4 linked regions of the Tribolium castaneum genome follow. The protein of the gene in region 3 purifies or fractionates together with the protein of the main gene of each other region. This does not show direct contact. Links are inferred from orthologs where the notes say so. Each region holds a gene or a part of one and is shown on either strand. Other genes may lie near its edges. The genes, in order: glu, alphaCOP, Ufd4 and SMC2.

The links.
Region 1: the proteins of Ufd4 (region 3) and glu purify together in Homo sapiens (affinity purification with western blotting; 3 studies listed by BioGRID, with this or other methods). This does not show direct contact. The link is inferred for Tribolium castaneum from reciprocal best matches to the Homo sapiens genes HECTD1 and SMC4.
Region 2: the proteins of Ufd4 (region 3) and alphaCOP purify together in Homo sapiens (affinity purification with mass spectrometry, with the first as the bait; 3 studies listed by BioGRID). This does not show direct contact. The link is inferred for Tribolium castaneum from reciprocal best matches to the Homo sapiens genes HECTD1 and COPA.
Region 4: the proteins of Ufd4 (region 3) and SMC2 purify together in Homo sapiens (affinity purification with mass spectrometry; 3 studies listed by BioGRID, with this or other methods). This does not show direct contact. The link is inferred for Tribolium castaneum from reciprocal best matches to the Homo sapiens genes HECTD1 and SMC2.

Annotation. Positions count from the first base shown.
Region 1 is NC_087394.1:25,210,979-25,216,889, reverse strand, and holds part of glu (structural maintenance of chromosomes protein 4), read left to right. Parts: intron 1-610; coding exon 611-800; intron 801-847; coding exon 848-1,030; intron 1,031-1,226; coding exon 1,227-1,589; intron 1,590-1,638; coding exon 1,639-1,841; intron 1,842-3,768; coding exon 3,769-4,189; intron 4,190-4,244; coding exon 4,245-4,740; intron 4,741-5,911. UniProt on the Homo sapiens protein: Central component of the condensin complex, a complex required for conversion of interphase chromatin into mitotic-like condense chromosomes.
Region 2 is NC_087403.1:717,281-723,682, reverse strand, and holds the start of alphaCOP (coatomer subunit alpha), read left to right. Parts: upstream 1-2,196; 5' UTR 2,197-2,327; intron 2,328-2,396; 5' UTR 2,397-2,498; coding exon 2,499-2,578; intron 2,579-6,042; exon of another isoform or gene 6,043-6,396; coding exon of another isoform or gene 6,397-6,402. Other genes in the region: uncharacterized protein DDB_G0289357-like, read right to left, coding at 6,397-6,402. UniProt on the Homo sapiens protein: The coatomer is a cytosolic protein complex that binds to dilysine motifs and reversibly associates with Golgi non-clathrin-coated vesicles, which further mediate biosynthetic protein transport from the ER, via the Golgi up to the trans Golgi network.
Region 3 is NC_087402.1:10,970,188-10,976,819, reverse strand, and holds the start of Ufd4 (E3 ubiquitin-protein ligase Ufd4), read left to right. Parts: upstream 1-3,090; 5' UTR 3,091-3,222; coding exon 3,223-3,231; intron 3,232-4,564; coding exon 4,565-4,704; intron 4,705-4,755; coding exon 4,756-5,509; intron 5,510-5,563; coding exon 5,564-5,848; intron 5,849-6,632. UniProt on the Homo sapiens protein: E3 ubiquitin-protein ligase which accepts ubiquitin from an E2 ubiquitin-conjugating enzyme in the form of a thioester and then directly transfers the ubiquitin to targeted substrates.
Region 4 is NC_087399.1:6,191,780-6,197,293, reverse strand, and holds part of SMC2 (structural maintenance of chromosomes protein 2), read right to left. Parts: coding exon 5,503-5,514; intron 5,449-5,502; coding exon 4,669-5,448; intron 2,498-4,668; coding exon 2,234-2,497; intron 2,188-2,233; coding exon 1,648-2,187; intron 1,595-1,647; coding exon 1,007-1,594; intron 1-1,006. UniProt on the Homo sapiens protein: Central component of the condensin complex, a complex required for conversion of interphase chromatin into mitotic-like condense chromosomes.

The sequences.
Region 1 (5,911 bases), on a different chromosome or scaffold from region 3:
CTCATTTTATAAATTAAATCTGATTAATAAAACAATAGTTTAATCAATAAAATGAATCAAAAGAATAAATAAAATATTTATAGCAACGCTTTATTCACTCTGCCACACAACCGTTTTTTCTGTATCAGATGATACATTATTTCTTTATCAATTCTTTTGAGTACATAAAATAGCACTTTACCACAAGCGTACATAAATTGTTTTAAATTCATTGTATTCAATAATTTATAAAGTTACAAATTCCAACATGTTAATTTTAAGGATTAACAATAGCTTTTTTTTTTAAACTTAATGTCTCTGCTATAGAAAAATCAAAGTATTATTTTCGTGAAATAAGTCTTTGTTATTCTTGAACTTAATCGTAAATAAACAATCTCTTTATGGTCTTGTATAATAAATAACTATTTATTCATCTTTTTCATTTAAATATTAAAATTTAGGTTTTCAAAAAGCGAACTGAAATGTAATTGTGATTTAACGTTCTAAAAATATTGAATGCTATACGTGAATAAAGAGCTTTTATCCCTTCAAAAAATTATTTAAACAATTTTGTATTATTCACTTAAATAGCTATTGAAACATTGATTTGTTTTAACAATTTTTTTTCTAGAAAATATGAAAAGTTGCAACAGAAAAAGGATCAACTCAAGGATGCTTTCAATGCGGCTGATAAAAAGGATGCCCAACTACAAGCCGAAATGACAAACACTAACAATAACAGGAAAAAATTTAAGCAACAGCTGGAAGATGAAAAAAAGAAACTAATTAAGTTACAAAAAGTGCCTGAAGAAAATGCAAAAGTAATGACAATTACTTGTATTTAATTTTTGTTAACTTTTTTCTGCAGCTCATTGGAGAGTGTGAGAAGCGAGAGCGTGATTTAACATCACAGCACGAAAAATTACAAGCAGAGAAGGCAAAATTAATGGAAAATATCGGTCATGAGACGAAAGATCTACAAGTGAAGAAAGAACAGTTTGAAACTAAACTTGGTAAACTCAAAAAGACAGTTGACACAACAAAAAATGAGGTAATTTATTTTCTAAATCCATACTTTTAATTGGTTTGTTAAATTATATATTGATAAAAATTATTTTTTTTATTATGATCCGGTTATAGAAAAAATAGTGTTTGCAGTTTGCATTTAATATTAATTAAAACACGAATATCTACTAAAGTTAAATGAGTACTTGTTAATACGTACTATTGTTACTCATTTTTTTTAGTATGATTTGGCTTCCACGCAATTAAATTTTGCCCGAAGCAGTGAAGAAACCGAACAAGAAAAGCTTAACCAACTTCGTGAAACGATTAAAAACAAAGAGGCTTGTATTAAAGAACGTTCTGGAGAGGTGTCGCAACTTAAAAAGAAAATTCCTCTTACGGAAAAGTCACTCAATGACGCGCAACATGAACTAGACGCAGTTAAATCCGAACAAAATCAAATTGAACATGAAATTAGACGACAAAGGATGTCTTTGGAGGAGACTCGTGCTTCCATGAACAGTTCCAAGTCACGTGGGAGAGTTTTGGATGCTTTGATGCAACAGAAGCGTGAAGGGAAATGTCCAGGGCTCTATGGACGTCTTGTAAGTAAAAAAAATAAAAGTGGGACTTCTGTGAATGATATTTCCTTAGGGTGATTTGGGGGGCATTGACCAAAAATATGACGTGGCCATTTCAACTGCGTGTGGACCATTGGACAATGTTGTGGTTGATACAGCAGATACAGCTGCATGGTGTATTGATTTTTTAAAAACTCACGGGATTGGAAGAGTTACTTTTATCGCACTTGATAAACAGGAATATTTGAGGGAACGTGCCAACACCAGAATTCAAACGTGAGTCATTTCAAAATAGGATTGAAATGAGATACAGATTAAACGGTTTTAAAATGATTAAATGCAGTCTGTTTACTAATAATTTCTTGGAAAAAAGCTGAAATGTTGAGCTTTAGTAACATTCCTGATAGGCTGAGAAGAACTCATGACTAAAATTTTTACGAGAAACATGTAAAAAAAAATTGAAACTACTTTCCAATATTTTGCAATACGGAGAATAAATATCGGGAGGCGACATAATCCGATTCGCCGTTTCCAAAAATTTAATATTTTTTTCAAAAACTGTTTCGGTGTTTGATCAAGTGTCAAGTAATTATCAACCTCAATTTTATTTTGCTTGAAAATTTCCAACTTTTAAACTTTACAAAATATTTCGGAAAATACTATTAGTAGATAAAATCCGCTTGCAGATTCAGGATCCCTGGAAAATTTTGTCTGTGACAGGCTATTTGGATGTTTGAAAAAATCTCTTACTACTTAAAAATTTTCATTTAAATTTATATTGACATACAAAATATTTTTTTTTATTTATTTGGTCGCTTGATATTTCTATACACTTCCAAATAAAAATTTAAACAATTAAATTTAGTTTTGTTACAGGTTTTAAGTAATATCAGTTAATTTAATAATCATACATTTTTTAATTTAAAACTATTAAAATTTAAAGACCATTCGTTGCTGCTGCTAGAACAATAACTAAAAATCGCTAGTTTTTCAATTTTTACGTGTTTTAAATTTTGACAGCTTTTTAGAATAGTTACAGAATAGCGTTTCGGCCATCCAATCGTTCATTTTGAGATTTATTTATTTTTGTATAAAAAAATGTTGCCATAATATTGTAGTTAAATAACGCCAAGTTCAAAAACACAAAAGGACCTTTTTACTTGAAACTTACATAATTGCACTTTCGAACAGACATAAAATTGACTATAAAATAAGTTGTTTATTTACTTGATATATTATTATTTTATTTTACAAAGTTAAGTAAATTAAAACAAGCGTTTGTCCTGCTTGTGGGTAAGAGGAATTTTTCAAAACTGTTTTTTAAAAACCTTAACAAAATAAATAACAATTACATTAAATTTTCTTGTCTGCTTATTGGAATTTATAAAATTTAACTGCAGTAATTTAGGGGACAGTTTATAAAACACGAATTGCTTAAAACAATGGTACTTTTTGTGCAGCGACTTAATATTAATTGGTTCATTTTAATTATAGGGAATTTTAGACAAATTCAGAAAAAACACACACAGAACTGAAATGCAAAGTATTAAATTGCAAACGCTGATTTCAGTGTGATTATTAGTTTTTGAGATTCAGAAAAAATACACTTTTAAGAGATTTAATTTGTTAGTATTAAACAAAAGATTCGAAAAAACTTAATAACTTTCGGTTTTTCTGCAGAAGTTTAAACAAATCATAAGAAATAAAGTTAACGTAAACACTTTATCAAAATCAGTATACTATTTATAAATTATAAGCAATAATGACAAATTTGTGTGTGTTCCATATTTTTCAAAAGGCTACGGTTGATGAAAGAAAAAAGTGTGGGAAAAAATATAGAAAATAAATTTTGAAACGTATTTGTCTTTGAACGTATTTGTGGCCTAAACCTTTGAAGATATATATTTGATCTTGGAGAATTTTTTAAAGGAAATTTGATTGTCTGCAACTTTTTTCTTACATTTTTCATTTTTTTTCTATCTTCATCAGTATTCGCAGCGTTTTGAAAAATACGTGCCAGAGCCCAAATTTAAAATTTTGTAATAATTTTGTCGTGTTTTTCATGTTGAATTTGTATACGTAAGGTTTTTTCACCCTATTAAGAAAGTAAAGCACAACAATTATGCATTTTTCTCTAATTAGTGCACTAGTTAAATTTAATGTAATTTGAATTTCAAAACGAAAGCAAATGTTAAAATTTCAGACCTGAAAATGTGCATCGCTTGTATGACCTCATTCAAGTGCAAGACGACACAGTCAAAACTGCCTTTTACTACGCGCTGAGAGACACTTTAGTTGCGGACGATTTAGATCAAGGCACCAGAATTGCATTCGGTGCCCAACGCTTCAGGGTGGTAACACTGAAAGGGGAAATCATGGAACCTTCCGGTACCATGAGTGGTGGTGGAAAGACAGTAAGCAGGGGTCGAATGGGTCGAACCGTCCTCACATCCACTATAGATCCCAAAGAGTTGGAAAAAATGCAAGTAAATATCGAGAAAAAAGAAGAACGTCTGCGACAACTGACTCAGAAAATGAATAGTTTGGAAAGCCAAATCAGGACATTAAAACCCGAATTTGATCAAATGAGAATCAATTACGAGAAATTCAGCAAAGATCTCCAGGTTTTTGAACAATATTTCGATATTTTATTTTGTTTTATTTGTTTGTTTGTTGTAGTCGTTGAATGAGGAACAACCGTTACTCTATGAAAAGTTGCGTCAACAAGAAACTGTCGCAAAATCGACCAAATCTGACCCTAAAGAAATCAAGAAGTTGGCGGCGATTGTTGACGAAAAGAAAGCCGAATATGAGAAAGCTCTTAATATTATGAAAGAAATTCAAGACGAAGTTGACAACTTAAACAAAGCCATTAAAGAAAAAACAAGCGGAAAACTGGTGGGTGTTGAGAAAAAAATTGACGAAGCTGTGAAGATGATTGAGAAATGTAAAACGGAAATCACTCGACTTAAAGTTGCAATAACAACGTCTCAAAGAAATTTAGATAAGACTACGCAAAAAATTGCAACATTGGAACAAAATATTGTCGACTGTGAAAACAGGTTAAGAACCATGAAGCAAGAAAGGGATGAAATTGAAGCTGATGGACAACAGTTACTGAAATGTATTGAAGATATTACCGAGAAGTTGACACAGGGCAAGGATGATAACGTGGGTAAGGAATTTAAAAACAATACACATTTCTACATTAAATTATTTGTACAACTATCAATTTCACCTCGTATTAAATTAAAAAATAAATACCTGTTTATCACAAAACAAAACGATATTTATATTTCACATTTTGGAATGTACTAATGTAGCAATTTAGGAAACAAATTCTAAAAGTTTAGGAAATGTTTTTTTTCTCCAAAATTTGACTTTATTTTTTGTTTAGAATTTCTACTGGTGTTCATATAACAAATAGGACAATATCTTCTTATTTAACTATCTCTAAATTTGCTAATAATTCTCCTTTTCTTCTAATTTTCAATTATTTTCGGAATCAGGTTTAGCAAAGGTAATTTTTTAATTGCTTTCTCTTGCATTAATTGCTTAGCAATGAACTAGATCATTTGACCTTTTTATTGAAATTTAATAATCAATATAAAATTTAATTAACTTAAATTCAAAACATTTTGTTTATTGTGGACATCAGAATAATATTTTTAATTTACAATATTTATTACCAAGAAAATTTGAATGCAATGTATTTTTCACACATTTGGCTCTATCGGTTTTATCCCGCAATTTGCATTAAATATAATAATTTGTTCAATGACAGTATTTAAGCTATTTATTTCGGGTCAAACAGATTCATTGTGTCCATAATTTAATTTTAGTTTTTGATAAATACAACATTTTGTTATTATTTTTTTTTGTTTAACAGAGTGATGAGTTTTCTATAAGTATTTTTTACAATATTTCAAAAACTAATAGTCGCACTGAAATCATTAAATTTCAAATTAAATGTTTTATGTTTTTCTCTAGACCTGTAAATTTTTCCAGAATTTGTGTAGTCATACTTAAAATACTTAAAATTAATTACCGAAGAATATCAGTATCAATAAAAAGTATAAAACATTGATTAATCGAAATTTTATTATTTCTAGTGTTATTCGAAAACAACGAAGATTATTTTGAGCATTCTTAAACCAATAAAATTGTTGTTGGCTCCAAAATTAGGTTTATTTGATTTAATTTTTAACTTTGCGGCTAGTGAAATTTTTTATAGATTATTTGCACAAAACAATTAAATATCGCTTGTTCTAAAACGACATTAGAAATAGTAGTTTTTTGGCAGCGACTTAATAGTAATTACATTAAGTAATTTATTTTAATTTTAA
Region 2 (6,402 bases), on a different chromosome or scaffold from region 3:
AGCAGAGCCTAGCTAAAGTGACAGCGGTCCCATTTTTTTTTGTTATAACTCGGTCAACTACTTTATTCAAAGTCCAAGCCTTTTTTATTTTATTTATTATAGAGCTGTTTGTCTCTGTAAATAAATAAATAAATTTCGTACAATCCGGTATAGTCTTCAAATACTCTTAAATACCTCATACAACTTTTTTTGAACATTAGTTGCCGAAAAAAATTTTACAAAAAAAAATGATGGACCCTGGCTTAGTATGTAGTAAAAAAACATGTTTTAGGCAAGACCAAGAGCCGTCTGCGTCCACAAGCAACGCTGAAGAAAGACAAAGTGAAACTTCTGCATGCGTTACAAGTCTGTACAGTCACCTAACAACGTTGCGTAACTTAAGGGACGGCTTTATAGAACAACATGGTTCAGAGCCTTCAGTCAGCCTCAGGTATTCTCAGCAAAGCACGGCCAATGCTACGATCAGTTTAAGAGTTGGTAGTAGATAACGAATGGGGGGACAACACAACACAACCTTGACCTTGAGTTTGACCCCGCCCATTTTCCCTCTCTTTCTTTCAAGGTCACTCGTTCTCTCTTACTTTTTCAAGGCCAACCCCTCCCACTTCCCCCCACCATTTCAAGGCCAAGGCATTATTGGACCTTGGTGTTTTCAAGGTCAAGGTCATTCATGCTACTCCCCACTTTTCCAAGGCCAACAACTCCTCACTCATTCAAGATGAATCGCGCAATTGTCCTTACTCATTTTCCACCCCAAACTGTATAAAAGTTAATGTGTTGTGTTGTGTAACACAGTTCTTGTGTATATCTGCAATAACAAGAAATTCTTTAAAAAATGGAAGTTACAAGGAAGTGTTCGATTTATAATACTCCTGGTAAGTTTAATATTTTTTTAGTAGTTTAGTTGGAAATAATTTTTTTTCAGAGGATGTCATAGTTTGTCCATACGACAAAAACCACGTACTGCTCTGGTTTCGGCTTGAAAGGCACATTTGGAAGTGTCATCGGGCCGATAAAGAAAAACAAAGGGCCTCATGTGAAGTGATGTTGAAAGAAGAAGAGGAGAACTGGGATCATTTCAATGAGCCCAGCTACCTCGACTTCCTAAAAACTAAAAAGAATCATAATGCCTTAAATTAAAGAAGTAAGTTTTATTGAATCTTTTTCAGCAGTAATTTATTGTGAATTTTTTAGGGCCGGGGTTCTTTAGTAGAAAATAGTGTAGAATAAGTTTAGCTAAGTAGTAGTAGTCGTAGTAAAATGTAAATATTATATTATTGTATAAAAAAAATAAAAGTTGTAAAAAAGCTACATGTTTTTATGTACACCTATTTCAACCTACTGATACAAGTAAGTGTGACCTGCAAGCAGAGAGTCGCTCACTGTTTCAATGACAGTTGGCTATCCAAGGTGCCGGAGGACAACAGCAGCAATTTGTTGCAAAATGGGTGATTAATTTTGCTAAGAGAACTGGCTTTTCAACCTTTTGCTCAACGTGTGGACAGATTCAACATTTGAAAAATAAATGTTCCACCAGATGCAACGACACAGGTAATCACTTATAATTTAGCGAGTAACAGTAGTATTGAGACCTTAGAGCCAATTTTTTGAGTATTTTTGAAAGAAATTCACGAAATTGCGGGTCTCGAGGAGTCTTAAGCAAACTCGTTCACATGAATTATTTTTTAATTTCAAAGCACTCTAAAGTTTTTTTTAAATGAACGCTTATTATTTACTCCACTGTACCACTGTACTGTAGTATTAGCATCTACTTCATTTTTATTATTACCACCCAATGAGAGTTATCGAAAATCGGAAAAATTGAAGAGAACCGAAGTGAAAAGCTTTACAAAATGGCATAGGTTTCAAGGCAATATTTCGAAAAAAAGTTTTCTATTTTTAATCGTCGATTACGGCCAAAATAAAAGAGCTAAGTAGGAGGAAACGCTTTTTTCCATCGTAAAGAGTACATCAAAATCTATCAGATAAGATGGATTTTAATAATTGATTTTGAGACACTTGGCCATTTTTAAAGGTGGGGGGGTTAATATATTTTTTAATTTTTTCATTTTCTCAATTACAGCAAAATTATCCGAAAAAGTGGAACTATATTGATCCTAGTTTTTGTAAAATGATGCGGGGAAATATCTAGTTTTTTAATTTAAAAGAAAACCTGATTCTTGTTCAAGTTTAACCTTGTTTGCAAACCTGCTGAAAACCAAAAATCCCTAAATTGCTACGTGTTTCGTGTCGTGTTTTTTTATGTTCGATAAATGTCAATATTGGTTTTGTGGAATGTGTTTTTTAATCCAAAAAAATTACTTAAGGTACTTGTCTATTGGCACAAATACTACTTTTGGTGTGTTGTTATTTACTACATGTATTGTTTCTTTCAGTGATTTTATAGATTACTGTATGACCTAACTTATAAATTTCCAAAGAGAAACATAACCTCAAAAGACACGTCAGCTAGCTGGGGATTTTAACCAGTTTTCAAAATGTTGACCAAATTTGAAACAAAATCAGCCCGTGTAAAGGGCCTATCATTTCATTCGAAACGTCCTTGGATATTGGCAAGGTAAGTTTGTAGTTTAATAAATCTAATCATTTTTTGCGATCATACAGATCATGGCACAGCGGTATTTCTGGCTCAAAGCACATACCTATCTTTTGTATTGAAACATTAAAATATTTGTCGTACATTTTTTAAATCTTCACTACTCAAATTTGATATCAATGTTGGCAATTAATTATCTGGGTTTGTTTTATTCTTATCTGTTAGCAGCCAACTACTTGAATAACACATGGCCGGTTTACGGAACAAGGGGCTAAATAGGGTTTTAAAGTTTCAGGTTATGTTCACAAAGGGGTTTTCAATTTGTATATGTCGTAGTCTTATAGTGAAATTAGGCGTATTATGAAAGCCTAGTCATATTGTAAACGACTGGGCAAATTGTAAATGAATAAATAAATGTAGGGTTTTTAAAATGCAACTGAAAAAATTTTAGGCGTATTATAAAACGCCTAACCAGTTTTCGTCTTATTGTAAAATACCTATGGTTCATTTGCAATACGACTGAAACAAACCTGCATTATTTTGGAGTATTATAATGCGCTAGTCAGTACTACTGAAATTTAACTTTATATTATAAATTATCGTCTTAAAATGCTGGAAGACACGAAAAGCAATGTCTTTATAGCAATATATTTATTAATATAGGTTTGTAATATCAAGAACTACAAAAAATTAGCCTAATTATGTTTACATATATCTTGTTCAACATTGAGATTTATGAATGCGCGAACTTTTTTCCAGCATTTTTTCACTGGACACATTTCGAGCTCTATTGTAGCACAACAAAGCTACCACTATCTAATTTATCAGAGCCGGTCAAAGCGCCAACTTTGCATAAAGGAACATCAAAACATTAAACAAATTTACCAAGTCTATATAAACTTAACAAGATTTGTTATAGTTTAGTTTCTTTACATCGCTGACCGGTCGTGGTCGAATTGGTTCCCAGTAATCTCTATAAGTATAATTCTGTAAAAGGTAATGGTCGAATTGGTTCCCGGGTGATGGTCGAATTGGCTCCCGCATGAGCAGGTAGGTAAAAAGGATTAAGCCAAATATATGTTAATATTTTAGATTTAAAGCTTGTAGAAATTTTCAAATAATTATTTTCTTGGCACAAAATCCAACAACAAATTTCATTTATTCATGGCTAACTGGTTATTTAAAAAAAGGAGAATTTAGTAATTTTTTAAGCCCAATGCTCTCCTGTAAATTTCGTAAAATGTTTCGTCAAGCAATGACTATTAAGACATCTCACATGATGACGTTGCGTTCGTTAATATGTCTATTAATACTATTAAAGCATCAAAATAGAGACAAATTACAAAAATAATTTTAACATTTTTCGACATAGTACCCATTAAGTTCTATGCGCCTTCTTCATCGTTTTGGAAGTACTTGAATACTCGAAGAAATATTTATCCGCAGCCTTTAAATTGTTAAAATACGATTTGTTTTTTAACGTTTTGGAACTTGTAAATTTGTTCATACACTTACAAACGCCATTTCTGTTATAATACTTTAATCTGTTTACCTGACCTACCTGACCGATGGGAACCAATTCGACCATCCCCGGGAACCAATTCGACTCGTCCCAAAAATTTACAGTGATAACGATAATTGATAAGTATAAAAAGAAAAAATAACCTCAAATTCAAAATACTACAGGGTGAATTAGTGATAATAATAAATAAGTATTTCAGAGGGTTATAGTAGTAATAGTAGAATTCAAAATAAGCGAAAATAACAACTTCTCTTATCAGAATGTTTACAGTTATTGAGATATAAGAGAGTTTTTGTCGACGAGTAAATTTAAATTTAGAGTGCAATTTTTTTAAATTTTTTAAACTACCTAACTACATTAGAAAGTGGAATTTTATAAAATGTTTGATGGCATTTTTGGTTCTTTTACAAAACGACTAAATGTAACCCAGTCTAATTGGACGATATTAAAGACCATTTTACATTAAGACGAAAACTTGTTAGGTGTTTTATAAATTTTATAATACACCTAAAATTTCCAATAGCATTGTAAAAATCCTATATTTATTCATTTATTCATTCATTCAATTTGCCCAGTCGTTTACAATATGATTAGACTTTTTATAATACGCCTGATTTTACTATTAGCCTACGACATTTATACCGTGACTTATACCAACCTATACACAGTATGATGATCATTGGGACGTCTCCATATGTGTGTAAAAAGGCGCACTGTTCACTCACTTATAGAAAAATATTAATAGCATTAATACGTAATCATTTTCATCACGTTCAGGTAGAAACAAATGTCGCATTTTTTTTTTAAATTCATTTATCTTGAACGATATACACAGAACAGAGGTAAGAATGTGCTGTAAATTGTAAAATGCTAACTGCTCTTTTCTATCACATACCGCCAAACAAGTTTGCACAAGTCAGCTAAATAATGGTGTTACAATAATAATGCAGTAAAATTAAATTTAATAGAAAAAGACGTTTACAATAAGTGAAACTTTAGTTTTAGTTAGCAAAAATAAAATTTAAAAAATTTCAAATTTGTTTTTGATAAAAAATTCAATTTAAAAGATGCACTGAAAAGTAAAAAATAATATTTTTCTATTAGAGAAGAATACTTCTGGTTACAAGTTGGTATTCTAAAATTTATAAAAACTCTGGGAACGGTCATATCATAAATTATAAGTCATAGTCACAAGTCATAACAATAAGGCATTACAGAATTAGTTTCTTGAATTCAGCACTGTTCCCGAAGCTTTTATAAATTTTAGAATCCTAACTTGTAAGCAAAAATATTCTCCTCTGGGAGAAAAACATAATTTTTTACTTTTTAGAGCATCTTTTAAATAAGATCTTTTTTCTAAAAAATAATTAAAAAAAAATTTTCTTAGTATCATTCTTTACTCCCACACAATTAATGTTAGGATGACAGGGCTAATGAGTAATGAGTAATGACTAATGACACTCGAAAACGAATTCTCATACAAGATATATTGAATAATATGTATAGGGGGTGTTGGTTTTTTGAGCTCCACCATGGGGATCTCAGTTATTATAAGACCTACGTGGTCGGTTAAATTAGGGCAAAGTTGCGCATTTATATGCTGAACAATTATCTGAAAGAAAATTTGATGTGTCTAAAACTCCAACAATTAATCATTTAATTTAAATTAACGAAAAAATATTTATTGTTTTATAAATGAGCTGGCAATGAATTTTGTCGAATTTCTTTGATATAATATTTATTAATTTAGCTATCATTTGTCTTACAAATATTTTAACGTAATTTGTTACAGACGAAATTGCTGTTGATTTTATAAATTCTATATAAATTGAACAAAGTTAAAAATGAACAATAATCTTAAAACAAGCTATTTTGTTAGGTGGACGAATAACAATTAGTTTGTTACTCATTAAATCATTATTGATTAACGTATTAAAGGTGAATGGGTTTAGACAGGATTAAATAAAGATTAGAAAAACTTTATTTTAATTTTCTTGACCAGGTTAAACAAATAATGCACTAAACCATACATTTAATTTTGTAAATTTATTGCGTTGGTGAAGATGATCGGCTGTTAATAAATTTATAATAAAAATCTCAATCTTCCGTGTAATTTTGAGGTGAGATGAATTTTGTTAACTTGTAAGGAACTCTTAAGTCACATGGTGATTTGATTATGGTTAATGACTATAAATACGATTTCTTAATGTACGAGGGAACTTTGGTTGTCATTAACATTTTGTTTACAATTATCCAAACAATATAAAACATTCATTCTATTTTTATTTAACAAATTCATCACTAAATTCCAGTTGATTTACAC
Region 3 (6,632 bases):
TCACCTTTTTTAAAATTTTTGTATGCATATTACATATGCACTTTTTATGCTCAAGTGTCGGTCCTTCAAATTTTATTGCAAATTATTTTTCATCCGTAAGAACCATTCAGTAAGCAGGCATGGATGGCTGGATTTTTTAAACAAAATTTTGGAGCATTTGCATAGTGCCATTAATTGTTCTGTTATTCTCTAATTTGTGTTTTTTTCGTTACACTTAACCAAGTTTGACGTTATTTGTTTTTTTTTTTCATTAATAACGTAACAATAAAAGATTAAATTAGGCTTAATTGTAAATTGTCAATTCCAATTTTTTAGCGTAGGCTGATATTAGAAATGAATTGCGACCAAAAATGTATTCAGAAAGACGTATATTTTTAATAAACACTAACATTTTAAAATTTTCACTTTTTGTTACAGTGTAATTTGTGACCAGTATTTAATAACTTTGGCTTAATATTTTTCCAAGATAATTTATTTAGTTTTCGTGCGAACAAGTAATATGGTTGGTTGCTAATTTCATGGCTTATTAAAGCGGTTTACCACAACTTTATTATTTATTACATATGTGTTTAGTGTATACTTTGTCTTGCATGGTAAACTATAGTTAGGAACGTTTTTCTTTATGAAAAGTAGGTATCATTAATCATTATCAAGCAACTATGGTGGATTCATCTACTCGGAAAACGATTTTGCATATTATAATAATATGATGATAATGATTGTTTTTTTTGCGAAAGTGTAGTCGCAATTCCTGTTCAAGAACAAGTCTTTATTTGGCACACAAAACATAGAATACTGAAGGTTCATTCTATAAATTCAGCTTTTTTTTCAGGTTGAAATACCTGGCCTTGGTTTATATTGGTTTATTTTTTAAATTAAACAGATTAGGTATGTGTCCGGATTTTGCCAAAATGTTAATTTTTAATTTTAATTTTCATCGTTAGGTTAAGCACAAACTGAATAAATAAAAGCGTAATTGAAAAAATTTGATGTGGCTTGAATTTATTTGTTAGTAAATGTATAACAGTAATGAAAGTGACTCATATTTAATCATGTTTGTCTCTAAATGGTCCATTTTATTCTGACATGTCAGGTGGTTATTGTTAAGATAATTTTTCACTGAAATGTTTGTCAACGGTTGATAAAAACAAGCATGTGTTTTATTTCATTTATTTATTTATTACTTAGAGAGTATCTAATGCGAACGAACTTTACATACTGTTTGTGGATTTTTTTTTTTTGGTAATTGCTAATTTTAGAAATTCAGCTGTTTCAATAACATGCAGGAACGTCAGTTATATCTAAAGTGCGCCACTGTTTGCGTAAATATGTACAAGTGGAAAAGACAATTTTACTTTGTGCTAAATAATTCTAATGTTTTGAAGAAATTGAAACGTTACATGAAATTGCACAAATGTTTTTGCTTTCAACAACTGTTTTCAATATCTCTGTTTCAACATTTTGTATAAAATGTAACAGTTTCAACAGCAAAATAAAATGGGTCGAACAATAAACCAAAACCTATGTAAAATAAGTCTCCAACAAGGTTAAACATAGTGGAGTTTATTGCAGCACTAAATATCGATTTGTAAAGAAAGGGGGATTTTATTATAATACATCGTCGATCAACTTGTTAACTCTTTTCGATAGAAAAAATATATAGGTTTACGGTTAATTGTTACTGCCAACCGGCCTAGAATATTTTTTAAATATCCGGTACTATTTTTCTTTTGTTCTAAATTAGCTGATTAAAACTGTTTACTCATCTAAACATAGCTTTCTATGTTATAACAAGAGAAAATATTTAAGTAAGTGAAAGCAAATAAATTTTCTTCTAAATTAGTGATAAAGTTATTTCTGTCGAGGTGGATTGAATATTTTGTAAATTAGTTGGGAGAATTGCTTTTTATCTTAATTAAATGTTAGTTCGTCTGTATTACATCCGCCAGTTTAAATTAAATTTTAAACAACTTAACCTGAAATTGGTATTATTCCACCTCGTTAAAATTAACCGGACCAATGCCGGTTAAACCTCCTAAATCACCTATTTTCATTTAAATTACCATTCAATCTGTTTGTGCTTTCGTTTCGATAAGAGTACATGGATTATTGTATGAATAATTGAATAGTATTCGCATCTCGGGATTGTAAAATTGCTGTTTGTTTCATTCATATTAAATCCGCGCCAGTGATTGTATTGAAGGCGTTGTTTGCATCCCTCACCTTGTCCCACCCTTTGAATAAAATAAATAAAATGATATGAAAGCAATCAATAATGCGACTTTTCGCTCTAGCAACTATATCGATTACCATGGCGATTAAGCTGATAAAAATTGAAGGCTTTATTTATAAATAAACACAAAAATGGGTTTGTTTGAAGAACAATCCAAACATTGCATAACAATTTGAGTATCTCAAACAAAACGATTTTATAGATAGCAGAATTTATCCCAAGAATCATGTTTATGTAACCGTTAGAGCGTTCAAAGCGCAATTTTCCAGTGAAAGTCGAAGAGACGAAAAGAAATTAACAGCAAATGCCGCGACGTCGTCGTGAAAGTTATTTTTATTGGCGTAGCACGCGTCGAATTCGCTTCAAGGAATTAATTTCTAATTAAGTGAATATAACGATGATTAAAAATTTAATAAGGGGATGTTCATTCGTCGGCTAGTTTCTCTCCGGTCCCGGTACGAAACAAATGAGCCAAATGAAAGTTTTATTTATAAATAACCGATTCCAGAGCCAAGAATCCCACCAAATTACCACCATCACATAGAAAATTGCGCAGTGACTCATGAAAAATCGCGCGACTATTTTCGATTCTATGTAAATTCGCACATGTTTGCGTGTAAATTTTATGACACATGTATAGTGGGTTGATTTGTAAACAAACAGAATTTTTGAAGGTTGCTATTCTTTGTTTTGGTGTCGGGTGTTGATCTCGTCGTTTTCAAAAATGCGATTTGACGACTTAAAACGCGGATCTACAGTTACGTAACGGGACTTTTTCGTGATGATTGGCCATCGTCGGAAGACGATGCATCAGTGATTTTGTCGTTTGAAGAGATTTTTTGTCGTAATTTGGGTCGATGGAGTCGTGAAAGTCGGAATGTTAAATTTTTGTTAAAATGTTTCCTAAACATTGCACCATTTCCTAAAGATGCGTCAATATTTTCTTAATTGGACGATTAAACCCCGGTTTATTTATCTATTAAGAAAAGATGTATCAGGTAGGTAAATATTTTTTTAATTTTGACATTAATTCTCATGTATCCATTGTTGGTGTGTAAAAAACTTGCGCTGAGAGTCATGTTTTTGTACCGAAGTCTTTATATCAAAGGAAATTGCCACATTGCGTAGGTGGTAATAAATAACTTTCTTGCATAATCTTTTAACTTCAATCTTGTAAACATTGATGATTTTTTGTGATGATTTATTTTGAGAAGGCGAGCATCAAAGACGAAGCAATTTTTAGATGTATGTAAGAAATTAACAGTTTTGAATAAATATTGGATGGAATACCGTGCTTATTAATGAGGAAACGTAGAAATATTTTCCATATTTAATTGCACAATTGGAAACACTTTCAAAGGAAATGACAATTCTATTTACATACAACTTCTGGAACATATTCATTGCGGAATGAGTTTATCTTATCATGCGAATCGTAAATATTATGTTTTTATTGAAACAGCTAGAAACATCTAGAAATATGAAAATGTCCATAACTATGTGTCGTTAGTTAACGCATCCTTTATGATTTCTCAGGTACACAAAGGTGCAGTTGAGAATTGTTTTGTCTCGACAAAGAAATCTTTATTTGAAAGATGACTTTAAAGTGCATTTCCTTGAAAATTTTGCTGTACAGAATAAGGTTTCAAATGTACTACCTACATTTTAGCAAATTATTTATGAAAATAAAAGTGTTTTAAATCGTATAATTTGTTAAAATCGCGCGTAAGCAATGGAAAAATCTGCAAATTATAATAAGCTATAAAAATATTGCATAATTGGGACGGTATAATAGAAAGGTGGCATTAGCTCTTTTCTGTCATAATCTTCACACATTAATTTTTAAAACAATATGATATTAAGACTTGGCGCATTTTTATGAAAAGTAATCTTGAAGGCGGATAATGCGGATTTATTATATTCTTTCTGCTTGTTAGCAGAAAAATAACTATATTTTTGTGTAAGCTTCCGGAAATACGGTATACGTATCTTGTCTCAGGTTGGCTAGAATTTTTCTTTTTGTATTTTGTGTAAACAGAAGGTGTAGTAATGGTGCAATACTTGTATTGTACTTTTGCTAAGTTAATTCAAAACTAAGGCAATTAAATATTAAACCATCTATTAATACCATAGTGGAGACAATCCGTAACAAGTTGTTGCCCCCTTTGTTTAAGAAGCAATCTCTATTTATTTCTAGTTGAATTGCTCATTTGCTACCTGTAGCATCTCAAACGTGCCATAGACTCCCTAAGTAGAACGACCGTTTGAATTTTTAACGTCAGTCTTACCTGTTCTAAATCACCTACAATAAAACGTTATCTCCGATTTCAGATGGCAGATCCTGATCCTGAGACGTTGCTGGAATGGCTAAACAGCGGTCTGGGCGACGAGCGAGACATGCAGCTCATCGCCCTCGAACAACTATGCATGTTACTTCTCATGTCCGACAATGTAGACCGCTGTTTTGAAAGGTATTTCAATAAAAAAAATTGTAGGTTTTGTTGATAATTAAATGATTATAGTTGCCCTCCTCGGACGTTTCTCCCAGCCCTCTGTCGCATTTTCCTCGACGAGCAGGCCCCCGAAAACGTCCTCGAAGTAACGGCACGCGCCATCACTTACTACCTGGACGTCTCGGCGGAATGCACACGTCGTATCGTCGCCATCGAGGGTGCCGTCCGTGCCATATGCAATCGTCTCGTTGTCGCCGAACTCTCATCTCGAACGAGCAAAGATCTAGCCGAACAATGCGTCAAAGTACTCGAGCTCATCTGCACGCGTGAGGCCGGTGCCGTGTTTGACGCGGGCGGTCTCAGCGCTATACTTCCCTTCATCAGAGACAATGGAAATCGAGTACATAAGGATACGCTCCATTCGGCCATGGCCGTAGTCTCCAGATTGTGCACGAAAATGGAACCAGCCGACGTGCAATTACCCACATGTGTGCAAGCCTTGAGCACGCTTCTGAGGCACGAGGATTCGCACGTGGCCGATGGAGCGTTGCGGTGTTTCGCTTCGGTGGCTGATAGGTTTACACGGAGAGGTGTTGATCCTGCACCTTTGGCCCAACACGGTTTAGTAAATGAGCTTTTGAGTCGATTGTCGAACGCTGCGGGTCCTTCAGTGGCGACCGGTACGCAGAATACGTCGGGTAAAGCATCATCAACAACGAACGCTACTGCCGCCGTACCAGACGCTAAAGCAACAGCAGCTTCAGTATCAACAATCATCAGTTTATTGTCCACCTTGTGTAGAGGATCACCTGCGATAACACACGTAATCTTGTTACTACAGTGACGTGATTTGCTTGATTGATGTTTTAAATTTCAGGATTTGTTACGTTCGGAATTACCCGATGCTATAGAAAAATCACTTAAAGGCGACGAACGTTGCGCTTTGGATTCGATGCGACTCGTCGATTTACTTCTAGTTTTATTGTTTGAAGGCCGTCGAGCTTTAGGCAAATCAGGTGGTGCTACCACCTCAGGACAACTCTTGCCAAGGATGAGACGAATGGATCCGGCAGCTGAAAAATCACACCGACAACTTATCGATTGTATTCGGTCGAAAGACACAGATGCACTCATCGAAGCTATAGAATCGGGAGGAGTCGAGGTAAAGACGAGTGGCCAAAAACACTAAACTTTATTTTTAATAAATACACGACACAATAATAAGAATATTTTAATTTTGCACAATTTATTTTGATTTTTGGCTCGAGAACGTGCTAAATAGTTGACCTAGTTTACTGATTTTTCATTCCGGTGTTATTAAATCGAAGTTTTTATTCTATCTGCGTGTTTAAGCGATTGAAAAAGACAATTCTGGTATTATAAGTGATCGATTCGTTGACTGAAAATTTGCATGATTGGAAAAACAAAACTAACTGAAATTCGGTGATTTTTTGAATTATTTTTATTGTAATTTTGGAAAATAATCGCGGTTTTGGATGATTTTGCTTGGATTGTAAAAATTGGTTGATTTTAGATGATTCTTTTCTCAGAAATGGCAAAACTCGCTGTAGAAAACCTGCCATCACTCTACTCAGGTGCCGGGAACGAAGATTTAAGCATCAAGTTTAGCACTTGATTCAGACGATTCATTCACAAAACTTTCTGTCCAAAAAATCTGAAACGACAATTCAAATACAGTTTTGTTGAAATTAGTTGATTTTAGATAATTTATTGTTCATAAATTCGCTGTAGAAAACCTGAAATCGGTTTACCCTACCGATGACAACTACGATTTGAGCACCAATTGTGTTGAAATTGTGTTGTGTTCAATTTTGGACTCTGTCTTGTCCAGAAGTATCAACATAACGTCCGAATGATCTACTTTTGTAATTTTTCAAACCGTCGTGAAAGTTTTTAGCCCTGAAAGCGTATTTTTAAGTACATTA
Region 4 (5,514 bases), on a different chromosome or scaffold from region 3:
AAACAGTAACCATAAATGGCGGGAAAATGTTTATTCGGATATTTTGAGCGTTGTACGAATTTTGGGGCTTCACAATTATTACATTGCCTATGCGGAATGATTATTGCATCTTTGATGCAAGAAACTTATGTTGACAAATGAGAGATGACGAGGAAAACACGAATAACGAATGACTGTTTGGTTCACTTTCTTTATTGGAAAATTATTACAAAGACATTGAAAAGCCTACCTTTTGGCATAATTTACGTTTAAATGTATCAGCAGTTGTTAATCTTTATTGTAGTTTTGCAGATTTACCGCAGCATTTCATGATTTTTTCAGTGGAAAATTCTAACCTAAAATTCATAACACTTCACTAATTTATTGGTTTCTTGAGCCAAACTTTGTGTTCGCTGTGATCCATTACTTATAATCTTTAATTAGACAACTGTTTGATAACACTTTGTAATCAAAATTTAAATATTTTTCACTTTTTATCCACTTTCAAGTTCCAACAATAAACACTATACCACGAAAAACTACAGAACCAAAGTCAACGCTAGTATTTACCACCACGTACTTTTAAAGTAATTCTTTCTATTGTAAATAATTAACACTATACACGCAAAATTGTTGAACAATTCATTAAATGTCAGTTAAATGTGGCATTACGAAAATTTCTTTACTGTTTTCGACATAGTTCAAAAGTCATCACCAGAGGGCGTCTAGTTAATTTTATTTCCGAATAAAACAATAATATTTAATTATAGTTCATAATAACTTAGTGAATTATGTAAAGTAACTCAGTCAGTCTGACATCGAATTTTGAACTTCTTGAATGAAATTGATGATTAAATAGGACATTTCTTAATTAATAGCACAATTTTATCGTATTTTTCAGAAGTTTAATTGATTAAAAATGAAAATTACGAGCCAAAATTCAGTTTTTTGCGATTACTTCAAATAAATCATTCAAAAAATACTTAAATGTACGATGTTTTGTCCTTTTTCCCTTAATTTCAATTACCTCAACTCCCTGAAGGACCGTTTGTCCCGTGGGCGGCAACAGCTTGGCGGCGGCCCCTGGCAACAACGTGCTGAAAATCGAACCAAAATCTTTGGAAATTTGCGAATAAGCCTTGCACACAATATCTTCTCTCTTCCTGTCTAATTCTTTAATGGCATCGAGCAGCTTCTGTTTGTCTTGTTCAACAATTCGTAACTTTTTCTTCACTTCATTGTACTCTTTTTCCTGTTCTTCGAAATGGACTTGTGCTTGGCTGTTGACCGTGCGTCCAAGGTTTTTCCTCATTTCTTGTGCTTCTCGAATTTTTCTCTCCAACTTTAGGCCATCTTCATCTGACATCTTCTCGGCGTTTTTCAACTCGTTGCGATTGGCACGTTGCTCACAATCAGCTTGACGCGTCTTCAAATTCTTACACTCGTCTTGTAGTTTCTTCAACTTGTGAGTGGATTCTTTCATTTGGATCTCACACTGGGTGATTTTCGACTGCAGTTCTTCCTTTTCGTTGATCTTCTTTTGCACGTCTTTGTTCTTCTCGACGATTTCGGCTTTGCCTTTCTTGAGTTGGGCTTGCAATTCGGCGATGTTTTCCTAAAACACCGAGATTAAAGTAGAATTAACCAGTGATTAGAACAAGTATTTACATTCATTTCGGTTGATTGCGTCCCGATTTCTTCAAGTTGCTGTTTTAATTTTTCGATATTTGCTTCAGCTGCTTCAATCTGCTGCTTCGTATCCAACAAACTCTGTTTCAATTCTTCAATTTCTCCCTTAAACGTTGCATAATCCAACTCTTTTTGTTGCCACTCTTTTCGGCTTTTGTCCGCTTTTGCCTTCAATCTGGCCATTTCTGCTTCAGCCTCTTTTAATTTCTTCTCGGTTCCACCTTTCGAGCCTTCGACTTGTTTCTCCAAACTGGCCACTTTTTCGTTGAGTTTCTTCTCATTTTCTTCACACGAGGCAATTGTTTGCTTCAAATTTTCGATTTCTTTTTCCAAATTCGCTATTTCTTCCTTCTGTTGGTAATAAGTCGATTGTTGCAACCTTTGCGTAATTAAACTCAATTCGTGCTCTTTCAATTCCAACTGTCTTCGATACGTGGCGAATTGTTCTTCTTTGGGGCCCATTTCACGAATTTCGGACTCGATTTTTTCAAATTCTTCATCTTTGGCATTCAGTTGTTGCTAAATAAAAATTAACAAAAATTTTTATAATTGAATAACTAATTACCTCCACTTGTTTTATGGTTTCGAGTTGTTTCAAAACCGATTCGGTTTGTTCCCGGGAACCCCCAGTTAAGGTACCCGCCGGGTCGACAATGTCGCCATCTAGCGTCACACATTTGCGTCTAATCCTGTTATCAAAGGCGACTTGTTTTGCCACATCCATGTCCTTACAAATGAACACATTTCCGAAAATGTGTTCCATAACGACTTGCATTTTTTTGTCGTACTTCAAGTAGTCCAAGGCCAGTTTGATATTGTCTTTCCCGACCTACAACCGCCATGTTTTGCGACATTTTGAATATACACCAAGGTTTTTATTTTGTTGAACGTCACTTGCTGTTTCAAAAACTATAAAAAAATAGCAACAATCTACTTACATTTTTTTGGGGTCAAATGAGTTGTGTTAAATTAAATTCCAGTAAAAAAAATGTGCCAAGAAAACACCTTAATTAAAAAAAAAAACAATTGTGAAAAGTGACAGTTGTTTTTATAGTTCTGAAACAGGTATTACGTTATTTAGAGCGTTAATTACTAGTCTTTCATTTATATTATGCTAATAAAATATTATAAAGTAGGTTTAATTTTAGTTTAATATTGTTTAAATTATTTTTTTATTCAATAATTTTATAGAAAAATGCCAAATACAGTAAAAAAATTATATAAGAAAAAATATCCTGAAAGAAATATTCCAAACGCCCCTAAAGAAATACTTTAAAGATTAATTTATTACAAAAAGCTGCTGCTAGAAAATAATATTAAACTTATTATTGAAAAATAAGTATTATCCGTTCACGATTGTTTTAAATTCTCAGCAGGCGTAGATATATTTTTCTGAGGTTGGCTTCAGGTCCTGTCAGGTACTGTCTTTATGACGTTGTCTTGTCAAAAATTCGCTGTGTTGTCAGTTCTACTACTTATTAATTTAAAATGTCGAAAATAATTTCTGTTGATAAGAAAGTGTGCATCAAAAGATGCAAGAAAGACAGACCCGACTTTTTTAACTAATGATAATGAGTAGAATAACAATAAAAACGTATTTAATTAATTATTTAAAAAATGAAGCAAACTGACAACAGTCGTTGGTTGTCATCAATTATAACCCAAAATAAATTTCTTATGACAACTCACAGTACTGCCAAATAAAATGTCAGATTTTCATAGATAGTCCGAATTTAAGACAATTATGTGGTATGTTTCAAATCTTTAGCACCAATTGTCAATTTTCCTTGGCTCTAAATTTGTCGTAAGCTAGAATTGTTTTCTTATAAATAAACTCTCATTTTATGCTTTAGCTTTCTCAAAAAAAATGCAAATGCGATGTTGTAATTTTTTCTTAAAAACAGAAAGAAAAAAAAAGGAAAGAAAGTAAAAAAAAAGAAAGAAAGAAAGGAAAAAAGGAAAGAAAGAAACTAAAAGACTTCCATACGTGATAATTTTAGCACAATGGAAAAAAATCAGTGCGAAAAAAAATAAAAAAGATTCACCTAGAAATAGAAGAAGAAGAAAGGAAACGACTTAAAAGTGCAGACAAAATCTCAAAATAAAAACTCTAGAACAAAAAAAACTTAAAACAAATAGGGAAAAATCGAGTAACAACAATAGTAATAAACAAAATTTTGAAAACAGATAACCATTCTTAAGGTTAAATCTTAATCCTTTAACAAATGAACACCAAAAGCTAATTGTGTTATCAGTTTTATGACTGCGCTTGCCAGATATTACTGAAATAAGACTTTTATTAAAAAAAATTATAAAACAAAATGTATTAATTGTACTCAAAATATTTCAAGGTCTAATGCGGCTTTAACTGCCTACGCTGTAAAAAAAGTACTATGTATAAATGTATAAAATAAAGATGTTTAATTTACATAAATAAAACTCTGAATGTTTTGAATGCTTATCTTGTTTAAACAAAATTTTTTTGTTAACATATTGCTGTTTATAGAGAATTTGCGATTTATTTTGTATGTTTTTTTGTTTTATGTTACAAACAAAAACATATCTTACTGAAGACTTTTATTTAAAGTTGAGGTGCTAATGACTAAAACATAGAGTGCCAATAATAATTGCGCAAATGCCAATCACTAATTTTTTTTTGTTTTTTATTTTGGAATTATTTAAAAATTAGCTATAATTTTTTTTTCGGTTAATATATTTTGTTTATTTAGGTGCATTTAGGAATAATTTGGATTAAATTACCACATTAAAAAAAATCTTCACATAACGCTTTTGTTTAAACAAAGATATGGTTAACCCTTAAGGTGCCAATCGCTACACTACTTACCCCATTGTCTATATGGTAGAGTTTATTTCGCTGAGCATTACATAATTAATTGTACTATTATGCTATGTTCAGTTGCATTGTAAACAACAGTTATACAGACAGAAACGCCAATAAAATATAAAATAAAAAATTAAATAAAATCGTCATTGACTTACCAAAATCTCGGCTGTCTTAACAACACTGTTGCTCATCTTATTCACTTGAATTTTATTAAGCGGCATGAAGGTGCGCCTCTGCTGTAAATCCCCGTTTTTGAGTAGCTTCTTGCCGGTAATGTCGGTATCTATAACAACATTGTACAACCGACCACCGGCTGCCATTTCCAAAGCATACGCCGCCGCCTCGTCTTTCACTTCAAACAATCGGCAAACAACTCCAATAACACTGCTCCTTTTAAAATTGGGTTCGGGGTCTTTATACCTGAACTGGGTGTATGAATTCCGCATCTCAAAATGATCAACCCGTTGCTTCAAAACCCTCATTTCTTGCGCCAAGTGTCCTCTCCTATTCTTCAAATCGTTCATCCGGTCCTCCTTGAAATGCAATTTTTTCATACTGTTTTTCAATTGTTCAATTTCTTGAGTCATGGCCTTTTGGGCCTGTTGGTCTTTGAGGATTTCGTTTGCGTTGGAACTTTTCCGTTGTTTTTCTTTGAGGCGGTCTTCAAAATATTTGAGCTTGACGCGAGTGCAGTTTTTGTTGCTGGTCACTTCAGAGACTTCTTGACGTACGTTCATTAATTGGGCGAGAAGCGACTCGGCTTCGCCTTGGTCGTTGAGTTCCATTCCAGCGCTTAAAGCCACAACTCGTTTTTGGGACGTAAGGTAAGCTTCCTTGTCCTTTTCGTCCGCTTCTTTGAGTTTGAGGAAAGTCGATTCGACTTTCGCCAAGTTGGATTCTTTGAGTTTGAGGGTTTTTTCGTCGTCGGAAAAATTCTAAAAAATATTGACTAGTTGCTGGAGAAATTTAGTTGGGTGGGAGGGAAATACCTTTTCCAGTTG